Linked DNA regions of Lytechinus pictus. The protein of the gene in region 2 interacts with the protein of the main gene of each other region in a pairwise test. Links are inferred from orthologs where the notes say so. Each region holds a gene or a part of one and is shown on either strand. Other genes may lie near its edges.

Evidence for each region.
Region 1: the proteins of splicing factor 3A subunit 1-like (region 2) and splicing factor 3A subunit 3-like interact in a two-hybrid assay, tested with the Caenorhabditis elegans proteins (2 studies listed by BioGRID). The link is inferred for Lytechinus pictus from reciprocal best matches to the Caenorhabditis elegans genes prp-21 and prp-9.

Annotation. Positions count from the first base shown.
Region 1 is NC_087248.1:31,928,984-31,936,895, reverse strand, and holds the start of splicing factor 3A subunit 3-like, read left to right. Parts: upstream 1-4,791; coding exon 4,792-4,848; intron 4,849-5,150; coding exon 5,151-5,233; intron 5,234-5,609; coding exon 5,610-5,748; intron 5,749-6,198; coding exon 6,199-6,267; intron 6,268-7,354; coding exon 7,355-7,539; intron 7,540-7,912.
Region 2 is NC_087250.1:20,509,506-20,517,111, reverse strand, and holds the start of splicing factor 3A subunit 1-like, read right to left. Parts: upstream 3,438-7,606; 5' UTR 3,324-3,437; intron 1-3,323.

The sequences.
Region 1 (7,912 bases), on a different chromosome or scaffold from region 2:
TTTGCACTTTCTCTTCTAATTTCTTCAGGAGAAACGTCTGGGATCTGAGATGGAACTTTCAAGGGCCGCTGGGGGCGTCGAGCTTCTCGACTCTGAGACCTTGTCTGTACAGCCAGGCCTACATTAGTACCATCATCACAATTAACTTCAACTCTCTCATCTTCAGAATTAGAGTTACCATTGGAATCTACATTCCTAACATGACCTTGAGTACTATCATCACCGTTAACTACTTTTTTCCAATCTGGATGGGGATTACTCATGGAATGGACACCTTCAATGTCCCCTATTATAACGTCAAAAACTGGTGTCTCTATACACAGTGCTTCTATTGTACCTACAAACAAAGGGGAGCTAATATGAACATTAGCAGTAGGAAACCTACAGAGAGTGATCTATCAAAACACATTGTCTATATTTACCAGTAAGTTGATCTGACCTCACAAGACTTTTCTTAACCGCAACACCGGAACATCCTGAATCATAAAGGACATCAACCTTGTGTGATCCAAACCTACCTTCAACAACAGTTAACTTACCATGCCAACGACGCTGACATGCAGCACACATCATCAGTGATTTTTGTAAGGTATCTCTAGTAACTATCTCTGACTTATCTTTCTCACTAACTAAAGACATTAACAAAAGTCCAAGTGTCTCACTTCCTTCCATATCTGGACTAACAAGCGAACAAGTTGCACAAGAATCTGACCTACTATCAACTGCCACTTTACTATTTGTTTCATACTGAGTTGATTCTCTTTTCTGATTTTGGCTACTACTTTTTGAATGATCAGTACTACAAATTAGACTTGCACCTTGTAATTTGGAGTTACATTTAGCTGCTAAATGCCCCATCTTGTTACAGATGAAACATGGACCAATTCTTTTCCGTTCAGGAGGCGGATTTCTTAAAATCCCCGGACTTGTCTTAACTTCACTTGGGACCTTTCGCAATCCTCACGGACGCTAATATTAGGGTCCCCTAACACAAAAGTTAACGCTTAATAATACACTTGATTTTTAAGATTGATTGTGCATTATAGTCAATAGAATCAAACGTAGAAAACTGCTCTACAATCAATGCCAAGCTTTGTGTTACAGGGGGGTTACAGGCCCTACAGATCTGCTTTTCGTGTGCAAAATCCTTTTCCGCGACACCCGCACCATACATGTACATGCATGTATATTACGACTAATGGCTGGAGATATTCGAAATGCAGACCTAAAATAGATTATGACATGGATAAGAAAATGGTTTTTCAAACAAATCGAGTACATATTGAGTGAGGAAAAACTTACTGAATGAAGGCTTAGATATAGATCATTACAGTCCATCGAATCGATATTAGATTTAATGTGGATTATTGGTGTATCACTGGCAATTGATTTCATGGGTCAGATCAACCTCTCCAGTCTCCAGCCGAACATTTCGCGTGAGTTGATATGTGCACACCATATGCAATACGTTTGAACTCGATCGTTTCTTTTTGTTTCTTTTGTTTCTTTTGTTTACTCCTTCTACACAAACGATATGCCTCTCGCACACGATGTAATGGGCATTATGTTTTACTTCCCCCAGAAATGGGGGATTAGATTCAAATTCCGGGGGGACCACTTCCATTGATGAGTGGATACCAGGCACGACCATGGGGTTTCGAAAAGTACCCTAAACAAGCTGGGAAGTAATTCTTTTCCAGATTATGAAAATGCATCTCTGAACAAGAATTTGGCTTGTGAAACCCTACAAGTATTGGGTATATATCCCTTTTTTGTCAGCATTTTAAACATCGTTTTGACACCCTTATAACGTTACATAGGCCTATACGTAACGTACCTGCCCACTCTGTCCCCTTTTACGCGTGGTCGCTCCTGGTATCCACTAATCAATGGGAGTGGGCCCCCGGGCGGCCTCTCGAGCTCTAGGAGGAGTCAAATGTGGCTTTGGAAAGTCGTCCTCAATCGGATATATCGCTGTTACCATAGTAGCAACCAAAATTTTGCACACGAAACGCATATTGAATGTTTCCGTCGCAGATGCGAAACGAAAAAAAAATCTCATGTCACACAATTTGCATTGTAGTACAGAGTTTTACACCCATGATGACGGGCCCAAAAAGTCTCTTCCAAAATCAACTAACGTCGTAAATAAGCGTGCGCGTCCTCAAACGAAAGGTCGGGACTGTCTGACTGAGGGTACCTACTACCTTGTGGCTTACCCTTCTTATCATTCTTATCTTTTCTGGTAATTCCAAAGTGACCACTATGGGCCTCTACATACGTGTCTGCTAGACTAGTCATCTCTGAAATATTCTTAGGTTTCCTTTCCTTCAGAAAAAGACCTAGAGAGGTTCCACCTCTCTCAACCAGTTGTTGTTTGAGTAACATTTCTACTACACCATCGAATGTACGTTGCGTACCTGACAGATCAATCCAACGACTCAAATAATGTTCTAACCGAACAACAAATTGACTTGGGGTCTCCCCGGACTGTGGATTGGAATACCTGAACTTTTGACGAAAATCGTCACAAGTAAGTTCAAACCTTAACAACAATGCTTCCTTGAGGGCATCATAATCTTCAGCTTTATCTGCTGGAAGTCTTGAATACACATCGAGTGCCTTACCTTGCAAGAGTGCACTTAAACTAATGGCCCAACTACTTCTTGGCCATGACTGAACCTCCGCATACTTCTCAAACCTTTTGAGATATGCGTCCATATTATCTTTTCCTTCAACAAAATGAGGGAGTTTAGGGGTTGGTGCCAAAGTGCGACCGTTTCCATTACCATTATCAATCATACTATCAGACCTACTCTGGCTCTGAACACGAGCCAATTCAAGTTTCATCTCCAGAATTTTTTCTTCCTCTTTCCTAACTTCTCTATTAGCCCTACGTTCCTCTCGCTCTAATTGTTCCCTTTCTCCTACAAATGAAAGAAGCTCAGGCCCTGACAGACCTAATTCCTTACCAATCTCAAACCACTTAGTACTCATGTTTAAATGTTCAAACTACCCCTACCTAAGTCAAAGAACTATTGAGTAACTATATACTATATCAACTATTTCTTATAGGGGTGTTTGATAACTTGTGTGGCACAATTTTCATACATATTCAATTTTGCAACTCACCGACAATCCAAAATAAACCTTTACTCGCACTTGACCTTGCTGCGCATGCTCGTCGCTAGCAGGAGTGTTGGTGCACTGGATGGTCCTTGGCCCACTGACACAAAGAACTTGAAGGATTTCGGCTAAATTCTGAAAATTGAACAGAAATTTGTTCATAAGTACGTATCACAAATTTTGCGAGGGGTCATGTCATCGACCAATTAAATCTTATGTCTGTTGACCAATAAAGACAAACAGAAAATCCTAGACAATCAAATCCTATACCAATTAATTCAACCAACAGGGTATGTTATGGCCCAAACAACTCGGACAAGCCCCCAAATTGTCACATTGTGTTTGATGTGAACTTGACTTATTATTCTAATCAGGCTGTTTGACCACCCAAGAATTAAACTATAAGATGAAATTGTACATTTCGATCAAAATGAATTTATTATATATATCAATATTGCCATTATCGAGGCTCACAAGCTGTCAAAACATAAAGATCAAGAAAACAGTATCAACAACGTTTTGGAACAATCTGTCTCAATTCAAATTAGTATAATCTAGACAAATTAAGTTAGTATTGTGACCTGCAATTCCTATTCAAGGAAAGAGCATAAACTCTGTGTTTATGAAAACAATCTATATAGTATACGTATACCGACTGTGGGGAAAGTTCAGTTTCTCAAGTCTTCACTCATCACCCGTTGTCAGACGTCAAATGCATCAATGTCCAAATTGATCATGCGATGCTGAAGAAATGTGCCGAACGGAAGACGATATGGGGATGAACTCGCGAATGCGATGAACTAACCAAGAACTCGGGACTTTCCGTAGAGAACGTAGCAATCGTAGAACGTCGTAAGACGTCGAAGAGGCCGTGAACGTCACAAGACGTAGGACGTAGCTAAACATTGCCAAACGAGGAGAACCATGGCAATACATGGAAACGTGGAGACACGTGGTAAAACGTCAAGAGACGTGGATAAATCATCGAGAAAACGGCCGTCTGGAAGAGAATACGCAAGGATTAACAGCCTACAGTTCATATCATTTCTGTTATTCAAATGGTTTATAATAGAATAAATGCTGAGTACATTCAAGCAGGTCAATGAACTTTCTATACTTGCTTCCGAGTACCTAATAGCAGTGTCCTTACTCATATAAAAGTCACCACTCTCGTAGTTAACAAGTGTTTAAACAGAAGCTTCGACATTTGTATAAATAGACTAATTGTCTTGATAAAGGACAAAATACCTTTCAAGTTTTAAATATTAGATAATTAGGTCACTTCCTAAAACAATCATTTCATGACATGTGTTAGACATATAAATATAATATCTGATATCTTACATGTAGATGTATGTCTCATATCTTAGTCTTCAAATAGCATAATTATCCTTCATCATGTTTAATTGTAATACAAATCAACATCACGGGTTCTAAATATAATCATAGCTTTTCATAATAATATGGTAAAATAAAACATCAACTTACAGTCTGGACCTTGAATTCCAACCAGTGTACCAACCACTGCTGGCTTACATGCCACTCCAAATATCAAAGGCGTGGCACCAAAGTGCTGGCTTTCCCAGCCAAGGAGCTGCTGAAAGATGCTGCTGCACCCTATGCTTGCTTATCTGCAGTCTGCTGAACATTTGCTTGCATAGCCCTATGCAGTGCACACACACAATAGCTATCAAACACAGTGAGGGGTTGCCTACTCTAGCAGTTAGGTTTGGTCTATTCATAAACAAATTAGGGAGTTACTCAACCAAATAGGCTCTTCCACTGGCTAGTAAAGGGGAGTTTGAATAAGCTTCTGACAGGTTCATGTTGATGAATTCCCTTTTTTGTGGGAAATTCAACCTTTGCTGGAATTTGCTTATATTTAGCCATCATGATTACTTTTTTTTTTGGTAGCACAAAGTTGGCAACTCTGTAAATAAACATATCAATTCAAATCCAATCCCAAATATTATGTGAAATGTAATTTCATATTGAACTGTTTTCTCTTTCTTTCAATCCTATAGAAAGTCGACTATGTGACCTACCTTTCCATTGCTGATCGGCTCTTTGAAATATCAAAGGATAAGAAGAATGCGGAATATAGACGGTAAGTCTATTCCTGTTGTGGTAACAATCATTCAATGAATTCTAGAGAATCCAACTAAATGAAGAAGAAATACATTTTTTTCTCATTCATCCATGCTCTCTTACTCATTATCCTTCTGTCTCTCCCTTTCTTTTTCTTTCTCTCCCTTTCTTTTTCTTTCTCTATCCTATGGTAAAAAACCCAGCTTGATTTAGGTAATGATTCTCCATTGTCCATGTGATCATTATCAATATCCAGGGATTCCTGCCAGTTTCCACCCCTCCCCTCCCCCCTCTCTCTCTTTCTCTTATTTATCTGTATTATGATATAAGAAGGCCCATATTTCCATGCTGATTACCAACATTCTAACTATATCTTTCTTTATGTCCTATCCTAGGTATCTGGACCTAATACTAAGTTATCTGCAGGACTATGCGTCAAGGGTCAAACCAATCTTGGACTTTGCAGAGGAACTAGATAAGGTCAAGAAAGAGTTTGATATTCAGTGGGAAGCAGGTACTTTCCCTGGCTGGCCGGTGAGTCATCTCATGTGCTGTGGTGTTTTAGAAAGAGTTGGGTGTGGTTGAAAGTCATTTCAATATCCTCTTGGTTGTCGTATACAACCAAGTTCATAGGAAACATAATTTTCCAGTCCTCCCTCAAAGAAGTGGAGTACAAGAAATGCAGTGAAAATCTTGAGTACCAGTATGAAAGCAATATCCACTATGATACAAGACAGGAAGATCTGCTAATCATACATGTTTGCAGTGTTTAGTGTGTGTTTTTCATGCTTTATCTTCATTCAGCTTTGCCTGTAAAATGGAAACTGACTTTTTTTCTGAGATTTTTACCATTGCTTTATCATACATTTTATATGTCTCACCAAACAACAAGAAATCTATGTATTAGAAAATTGGGGCCTGTATTATAGATGTCCTTGAAGTCCAAATTAGTCTTGTGTGTTTATTTTCATTTGTTATATGCAGAAAGAAGCAGCGAGTGCTATGACCCATGCTGGTGCTCATCTTGACCTGTCTGCCTTCTCATCATCAGAGGTAATCTACACCTAGATTGGCTTCCTCTCAGATAGTCTACATGGGCTGAACATAACTTTATCTTACTACCTAATAACAGTTTGGTTCAACCATCATTTGGCTTACTTCCTAGATAGTCTATTACAACATAGGCTAAACCCATTATATCTACTACCAATTTAACTGCCATTTGGTCTACACTGCACTTGATCCAATACCTATTTCATCTAATCCTCATTTAGTCCATTTCTGGTGGGTTTATAAATTTCCACTTATTCTACTTATATTTTACTTTTTTCAAACTGAAAATTTGGTTCATAGACTGGTCATCTAACCCTATATAGGCTAAGTGTTATTAGACTAAGTGGATAAAGAACAAAGTGGATATAGCCTAACTGAAAATAAGACAATGCAGTAATTGGGCTTGCATTGTAATTAGCCAAATTTATTAGTACTTGAACTAGTTGAAGACAAAGCTGGTCTAGACAAATTGGTGATTTACTGTGAGTTTTCTAAGGAAAGGGGAAATCCCTGGGGTAAGTCTTTTAAATGAAAGGAGAGAGTAAAGGGAAGCATTTTTTCCCTGAAAATTTCCTTTAGAATCGGTGACAAAATGAAAAACCTGTGAAATTTGAAGACTCGATTTACTTCCTCTGGCAATCCTCAAAATGGCAAAGTTGGAAATGGCCTGTTGCCAGAGCAACGGCTCTTTCACCCAAGAAAAGTTGCTTTATAATGACAGTACAAATCTCAATATGTTTTGTACTCAAATTTTATAGTTTCTCCTGTTCTCCTTTACTGTATATCTAAAGATTCTGCTTGTACTTTTGGTGAACTCAACTTATATTGTGTCAAATACATTTACCCATGACATAAGTGGTGCTAAAAAGGAGACCAACTACACCTTAATTAAGGGAAATTTTGTGAAGGAAAATATGGAAAGTTGTACTACTAAACCTGTTACTTTAAAGCAATATTGCCTAGCTGAGGATCACCATAGAAAGCATATTGAGTACAAAATATGTGGAGAGTTGTACTATTTAACCTGTCACGTGATGGGATAAGCAAATTTGAGACTTACATTGAACTTTTACTCTTTCACGTACAGGAGTTGGCCTCGCTTGGTCTTGATCGTCTGAAGTCAGCCCTGATGGCGCTTGGGCTGAAATGTGGTGGGACCCTGGAACAACGAGCCCAGCGTCTCTTCACTACCAAGGGGGTCCAGCTTAATGAACTAGACCAGGCCTTGTTTGCTAAGAGTAAACCAGGCAAAGGAACTAAAGCTGGCAAGAAGTAAGTGTCCATTGATAACCTATGTAGCTTGCCTACTGCTACTTATTACCCAAATATAGAAATCATAACTAATAAAGAGCATTATAAACCTCTCTTTAAGAATGTCAAATAATCTTTTCCTCTTTTCTTTAAGAATGTCAAATAATCTTTTCCTCTGATTGGTCAAAAGTGGGGTCATATATTTGACCATGCCTGCAAAACAACAGACAAATGTGGTTACCAAGGGCAACGAGCATAGTTAACAAGATTTGTGCCTGTTGCCCCCTGATTGCCCCCATTAGCATTGGGCATAAATCAAATTTTGCTGAGAACACCAGTTAATTGCGTGCGAGAAATTGCTTTCTGTGGTGATTGCAGATGTCATAATATCAGC
Region 2 (7,606 bases):
GATGTTTCGAATCAGCAACATACAATTTAATACTCAATTCACCACTCTGGACGTGCATAATTCATGATATTATTACTCTATCAGTTAATGGAGCATATTTTAGAGGATTTGTGGTTACTTTATCAATATAAGGTGGATTTAGTCTAAAGATCCAAGGTAAAAATTGAGACTTGAATTAAAAGTTGAAGAAAGCCAATGGTCATGATGTCTTGATCCTGTTGATGCGGGTGTCTGACGAGAAAAAATGTTTTTCTTATCTGAAAAAAATATATATCATATTTCTTGGTGGATTTGAAGAGAAATAACCTTCAGAGTGACAGGAATGTAACATTTTATGAAAAAAAAATAGTACATGGCGGCAAAAAACAAGACTGTATCTAAAAGATGAGACACAAACAAATCTATATTTTGAGCTTCCGAGAGCTGTTACACTGTAGGTCTACAAATTCATCTTGATTAAAAAAAATTGTCCATAAAGTGTCTTATAGGAAATTTGATGCTCTTTCTGATGGTATGTTTTTTTTTAAGTAGGGTGCCTCAAGCAACAGTGAACAAGAGTGTCTCAAAGGCGAGCACATAAATACTTGCATCGGCCAATAAATATCATGAATCTTCCCTTAAAGACCCTGACCGGTGTAAAAACAATCATATATCAAAATAAAGGTAATGATGATGGGTGATGATGGGTTCTTGTATAGCGCCGGTATCCGCCTCAGCTGGGCGCTCATGGCGCTTGCTCAAAAATAGGAAATATCTCACAAATTTCAATGTCTTCAAACAGTGCTTAGGATCATCATTCAGTTCAAGTACTGTCCTAGTAATGCTACAATTGAGTTATTCTTGCAATAATGTTGGAGTGGGGAACAGAAAAGTCTTCAGGTAAGACTCAAAAGTTGATTGGGATATGATTCATACAATACGAATATACCCAAAATATTACATATATCTCCTTCCAATAGTTAAAAATATTAAATAAAAATCAAAGAAACTGCTCCTCCAAAGTACGCTTCGATTGAGCACCCCCACGTCGCCTGGAAATGATGACGTCACGTTGTGTCAGGAGGGTTGTGATTCCATAGGTTTGTGTACAAAAGCATTGGGTATTTTCTTCCATTTCCATGTTATGAATCCATTTTTTTTTTCGTTTTCAGATGAAAATGGCACTCAAAATTATTCACTGTTCAAATTGTTGTAAACCTACAACTATTCACTACCTTTTTTGTGATTTCTTTGTTTGGCTCTTATTGGGCCTAAATTGTCAGGAAAAGTTGTTATACATAATCTAAATGCAGATAGAATTGAAATCTGCGCCAAATAAGCAGGAAATAAAATATGGCAAAAACTAGTTCAAAACTGCAGATTTCATAAATTCAAGCTTGTGGGTAAAAATATATGTGATATCCCTCTGTGATAGAAGTGAAGAGAATGAAATGCGTTATCTGGAAAGCAAAAAAATCACCCAGTTTTTCTGTGTACAAACCTATGGAATCACGACGCTTCTTACACAACGTGACGTCACGGTCTCGAGGCAGGTGAAAAGCACAATAAAGCCTATTTTCTAAGCGGGGTTCGAAACCCGATAATTGGAATATTCTTAAGCAAAATACTCAGCTGGGAAGCGGTGAAAATGCATAAAGCATACCTTGGTGTATTTAGTAGCTTATAAGCTTTCGATTGGTATATAATTTATCAATTTCATTTTCGGGTCCGGTCTGGATCTTTAACATTTAAGGTAGTATTCATGATATTTATCGGCCGATGCAAGTATCTTTTTTATCTAAGTTAGCACTGCTCATGTCATGATATTGTCACTGTCTATACGCATCATGTAGTTAGGCTACGATAACAAAGACGGCTAGGCAAGGTGGCGACAATAACAGACTGTTAGTACAGGTAAACGCTCCTCTACTTTTAACATTTTCAAGTTTTTTATGTTTAATATTATTTAAAAATATGACTCTTTAGTGCCAACAGGGTCCAAATGGTATTGTAGCCCATTTATTTTAGACTATAAATTAAAGGGTAGACAATGGCACCAGGGGCCCGTTTCATAAAGGACTTGCAACTGGTGCAACTTTGCCATTATGGCAATTACCGTGGTAACCTTGATTATGATTGGCTGCTGAGCCCTGTTACCATTGTAGTTGCCATTATGGCAAAGTTACAACAGTTGCAAGTCCTTTATGAAATGGGCCCCTGATTGGTGCTGTAGACATGTGTCCGAAATATCAATAGGTGAATTGGCCTCAAATTTTCATTCTATATTTTGAGTGAACAATGTAGTTACATGTAGCGACATCTTCATATTTTCTGGCAGCCAAGTTGATTATCTATCAATGTGACATGTTTCCACAGCTCCCCAGAGGCTCAAACAGAGCCAGGTCAGCATAAAGACTTTAAAATGCTTATTTTCAGCCACTAACCCACACAGTATAGCCTAAGGGGATGGGCCAAATGCTAACTTACATGCATTTCCAGGCGCATTTTATGGAGTATTTAAGCCTTATTTTTCACTATTTAGGAAATTTTGACGTAAGCTTTGAGCAATGTCTTTGACAATCATGCTAATAAAGAATATATTAAGGTAAAGTTTTTTAGTAGTAATGGTGTTTCGTTTTTTTCCGTTGTCCTACCTGTTTAAAATTGGGCTCAAAACCCAAAAGAAAACATATATTTTGGAGCAACTTTATGACTTTTTTTCTTCTGTATAGTGAATTTTATTGCCCTGCATTTCCCATTAAACTAAAAAATGTAGGCCTATATTATAATTGACTTTGTATTACTTTGATGTAAAGACTTGCAAATGAAGTGATATATAACAACTTGGCAAAATATTCAGGAGCCTGAGTCCTGGCTGTGCTAACCTCGACTTGGGCTGAAATTAAAATGAAAAAACTTCCCGTAAAAAAAAAAAGAGTGCCATTTTTTTTCTGAGTAAATCAGCCCGTTTTTAATGACAGAAATTTTCCAGTTTGGCTTCAGACACTGATTACTTTAACTGCATCACAATAAAGGGCAAGGCAACAAGGATAAATCCATAATAACATCGAACAATAGCATTGATTAGCTGCCTTGAGTCGGACTCTTGTCCTAACTCCTAGATTATATAGTTAATTTCACATGACATAAATTTCAACACGTCGGACCGAAGCCGGTCGAAAGGAACACTGCGCAGGCGGGATATTATCATTAAAAGCAAAGCCAAAGGGTACAGCCGTACACAAAAGCAGTCAAGCACTCTTAAAACTCTCTCTCACATTGAATTAATTCGAAGAACGTTCACAAGTATTTTCTTCTAATATAATCAAGCAATGAATACTTACGGAAGGTCTACACAAGTGAAAAACAAGTAAAGAGTGTTCACTTATTTCCAACAGAATCGTTGTGCGTGCAATTCTCGTTTTGTATAAAGCCCTAGCCCTCTATAGTCCAAACAGGAATATTCGACAGAGGATTTTTATAATTTTACATAAATTATTTCGAATTTTGTGAGACTGGAGTTGCTGCTGAAACTGCATAAAAAACACAATATCAAAAAAAATTGTTCGCCGCCCCCCCCCCCCCTTGTCCGCAGCTCCTTTCGTCATTTTTCCTCTTGATTGAGAGTTGATAGTTCCATGACCTAGACTTCTTATTTTTTCCCCCTTTTTTTTCTTAATTCATTATTTCAACTTTGTGCACTATCTCTCTTGTATCCTTCCTCCGTTCACCCTGAAAAAAACTTTGTTGTAAAAATAGCAGAAAAAATAATAAAAATTATTGGTGAAGGTTTGAGGAAAATGCGTTAAAGAGTAAGAAAGTTATTAGAGTTCAAAGTTTTGGATTTGTGACGTCATAAACGAGCAGCTGCCCCATGTGTTATGTAATATAAAATGCATGAATTTCAAATTTTGCATGGTTCCTGATGACTTAATTTTGTTTTCTATTCATGATCGGGTGTGAAATGATTTGTCTATTGATATACAAAAGGTACAGTGAAAACCATTTTCAATTTTCTGAGAAAATGACATTTCATTGATTTTTTACCATTCGCTATGTAGGAATGCTGCTCGCATATGACGTCACAAATCAAATAATTGAAATTCTAATAACTTTTTAATTATTTGATGAATTTTTCTCAAACCTTCGGCAATATTTTTTACTATTTGTTCTGCTATTTTTACAATAAACTTTTTGTCAGGGTGAACTTCCCCTTTAAGGTCGGAGATCGCTGGTAACAGTTGAAAAATGTAAACACTTCCTAAGAGTTGTTAGAGCTGGTGAAGTTGCTGAGGAGTTTTTGGCGGGTTGTGTGAAGGTTGCGAATGAAATATAAAATAAATGTGTGGAGCTGGGTTTTGGTGTCATTACTATGGTGCACAGGGGGAAGAAAGAGAACACATTCACTTTTCACATATCACTTTTCTCAGGGGGTACCCACTACCCAGCACTGACTCCGCCCCCCCCCCCCCCCGTATCGACGCCCCATATAATCAACATTTTCCATGTATAAAGTATATCCACGGCAGAACCTTGCTGTAAATCTACCAGTTCGCACAATGAATTTACTTGATGAGAATGAATTAATTATAAGGATAATCGCACAACAGAGGTTATATTTTCAACAGCCCTTGAACCCAAAAAAGTGCGTCGATCACCCTTTTTTCACAGTCACATACAGGGGCCGCGGAACCGGGGGGGCTGGGGGGGGGGGGCTTCAGCCCCCCACTTTTTTTCAAAACCGTGTACAAAAACGTAAAAATTACCATATGATTGTGATTTTTAGCATGGTCAGCCCCCCACTTTTGGCTCAGCCCCCCCCCCCCCCCCACTTTGAAAACCGTTCCGCGGCCCCTGACATAGATCGAGGCAAAATCAACTCCAAATTAACCAAATGTAAAACGCTATTACCAATGACCTACTATCGATTGGTTTCTAGTTGGTGTCGTACTTGTGAATGTACGAGTCCATGGCGGTTACAGGAAGGGGCACAACGCCCCCCCCCCCCTTGAGAGCCATAACAAATCTTTGTAAGGGGATATGTTGTGCATACGCAAGTGAGGACCCCCCCCCCCCTTTATTTATTTATTTTGTTTGCTTGTCAAATATTTCATTCATCATCACCATTAATTTGGAGTGAAGCCTAGCTTTCTTGAGGCTTAGTTTTTTTCTGTATACAATGCCCCCCCTGGAAATTCCTGGATTCGCCCCTGGTATAATCATGTTGTCTTAAGTACGTTCAATGTATAACGGAAATCTCACGATTATTATTATTTCCCATTATTCTTCCAACACTTTACTCTTAATTATTCCACTAAATCGTGTTGCATTTGGAAATTTATGATGAATGGGGATAATTTCATAAATATTTTGCTTTAACGCGTTGTCAGATCTGACAAAGTTCCTTGATTTTGATTGGCTGTGAAGCACTGCTACCATGGTAACTGTCGGATTAAACGTCTGACAGGTCATTTCATCAGACGCTCCCCTGAGAATCAGGAGCATGCTAAGATATTTTTTTCTCACCATCTTAATTGTAGCGTGTTCATCAATAACATTAAATGTTTATATAATATTGATACAATCACCTGAATTGTGCGATGAACCAAAATTCCACACTTTTATGCATTTATGATTCTCATCTTATATAATTTGATACAATTTTAATCATTGCGGAGTTTTTTTTTCGGGGGAGGGGTAAATCTCCCATAAACACCCGCTTACTTCATCCGCCCCTTTTTATGGGGGGCGTTCACAATTTCCCTTAATATACGAAATATATGAAACATTTGAAATAGTGTATCTTAAAAAAAACATTTTATTTAAAACGAATATATTGCAGACCCAATGTCGGATCGGTAGGGGGGGGGGCTTAAAAATAGACTTTAAAAAGTGCAAGATAGAGGTGTTTAAAACCGGCTATCTCTCTCAATTGTGATTTATTTCAAAATCGAAATGGCTCAAGTTTTCTACCGCAAACTTAATTGCTAATTATAATTTTAATTAGTTAATTTCCTGTCTTTGTTACTATCATGGTCATCGTAATCACGTGATAATGAGAAGCTTGGCATCGGGCCATTATTATAAACAGGGCGGGATGGGGGGGGGGGGCTTGCCCCTTAAATTCTTCAAAACTTCCCTTTTATTAAAGGGGCTCCTTTAATATAGAGATATTTACAAGACCAAGCCAAAACAAATTCCATTTTCTTTTCTTTTTTTCGCCCCAATTTTTTTTATCCTTTCCCTATTTTCATTCTCTTTTTAATAATTTGTTTATTTCTTCGATTGGAAAAAAATATGGTTGGCAAACTCTGTCCCCCTTCCAATCGAAATTCATCAACCACCGCACATGCAATTACACCCAATCATTGCAGGCTTCTATTCATTAAGTACGTTTTGTCTACATGCCACCTTTTAAAATAGAGCGAATTAGAATATCTAAAGGGCAAGTCCAATCCAAGAGGCAGTTGGGTTGAATAAAAAGTGTAAAATGACACAAGCATCAAAGTTCATCAAAATCGGATGTGAAATAAGAAAGTTACGAAATGCTTTACAATCACTTAATTAAAAAACAGTTATATTTACGCCGTGCTCCTATTGTGGGGGACTGATGGCATCACCTACTCTCCACTTATTTTGTATTATATTGTATGAAATATGAATTTTAAAAAATGTTTTCACCCAAATTTAAGGTCATTTTCGTCCACGGAAAATTTGACAAGCAAGAAAAAAATGGTCCTCGTTTTCAAGGGGGGGGCACATTTGTGTTAGAACGGCAAATTTACATTGTAAATGTTTATTATGCCTCTCAAGGGGGAAGGCATGGACCAGATGTGCCCCCCCCCCCTGGATCCACCAGTGGAATTGTATTTTGTATTTATGTTTTTGTTATTTGTATGTTCAAACAAAAAATGGATATAGAAATTAATGAAATAAAACCAAAATAAATTCAAACAAGGTATTCCTGAACACATGCCATATGGAATTGTCATTGTTTAATTATTTTGTGGTTCAGTCAAGTTGGTCATTATTGTAAAAATAAATAAAAATCCTTACTTCAAACTAAAAAAAAAAAAGAAAGAGTGAGAGGCATCATCGACTCTTACATTTGCATATCATACATACTGAGTTATGTTTTGTAAAAAAAATAAGCAAAACTTTAAAATTGCATATTTTTCTTATTTTACATTCTGATTTGAAATTTTCAGATTTATGCTAGTTTGATTTTTCTCTTTTGATTCAAATCAACATTTACTGGGGTGGAATAAACCTTTATTTACAAATAGTCTATATATGCACAAAAATGAAAAGTACAGGTCATTCGCCTTCCTCTGATTACACAATCCTGAAATTTCCACGAAAAAAGGCAGAGATAATCTTCGAGACTAAAAGTGTTGACAGACGTCTAACCACGATTAATACAAGTGAGAGATGTATTAATCCATATGGATTTAATTCTAATCACGTGCAGCATTAACGTTTGATTTTACACTGGTACATAAATGCGTAATGCACTTTCCTGCCTTTTAGTATGCGAAAGGGATCGGATGCGTAGACAACTGCAGTTCGTCGAATGCAGCTAGCTGATAGATAGGGATACCTCACGCAATTCACATTGCTTTGTTTG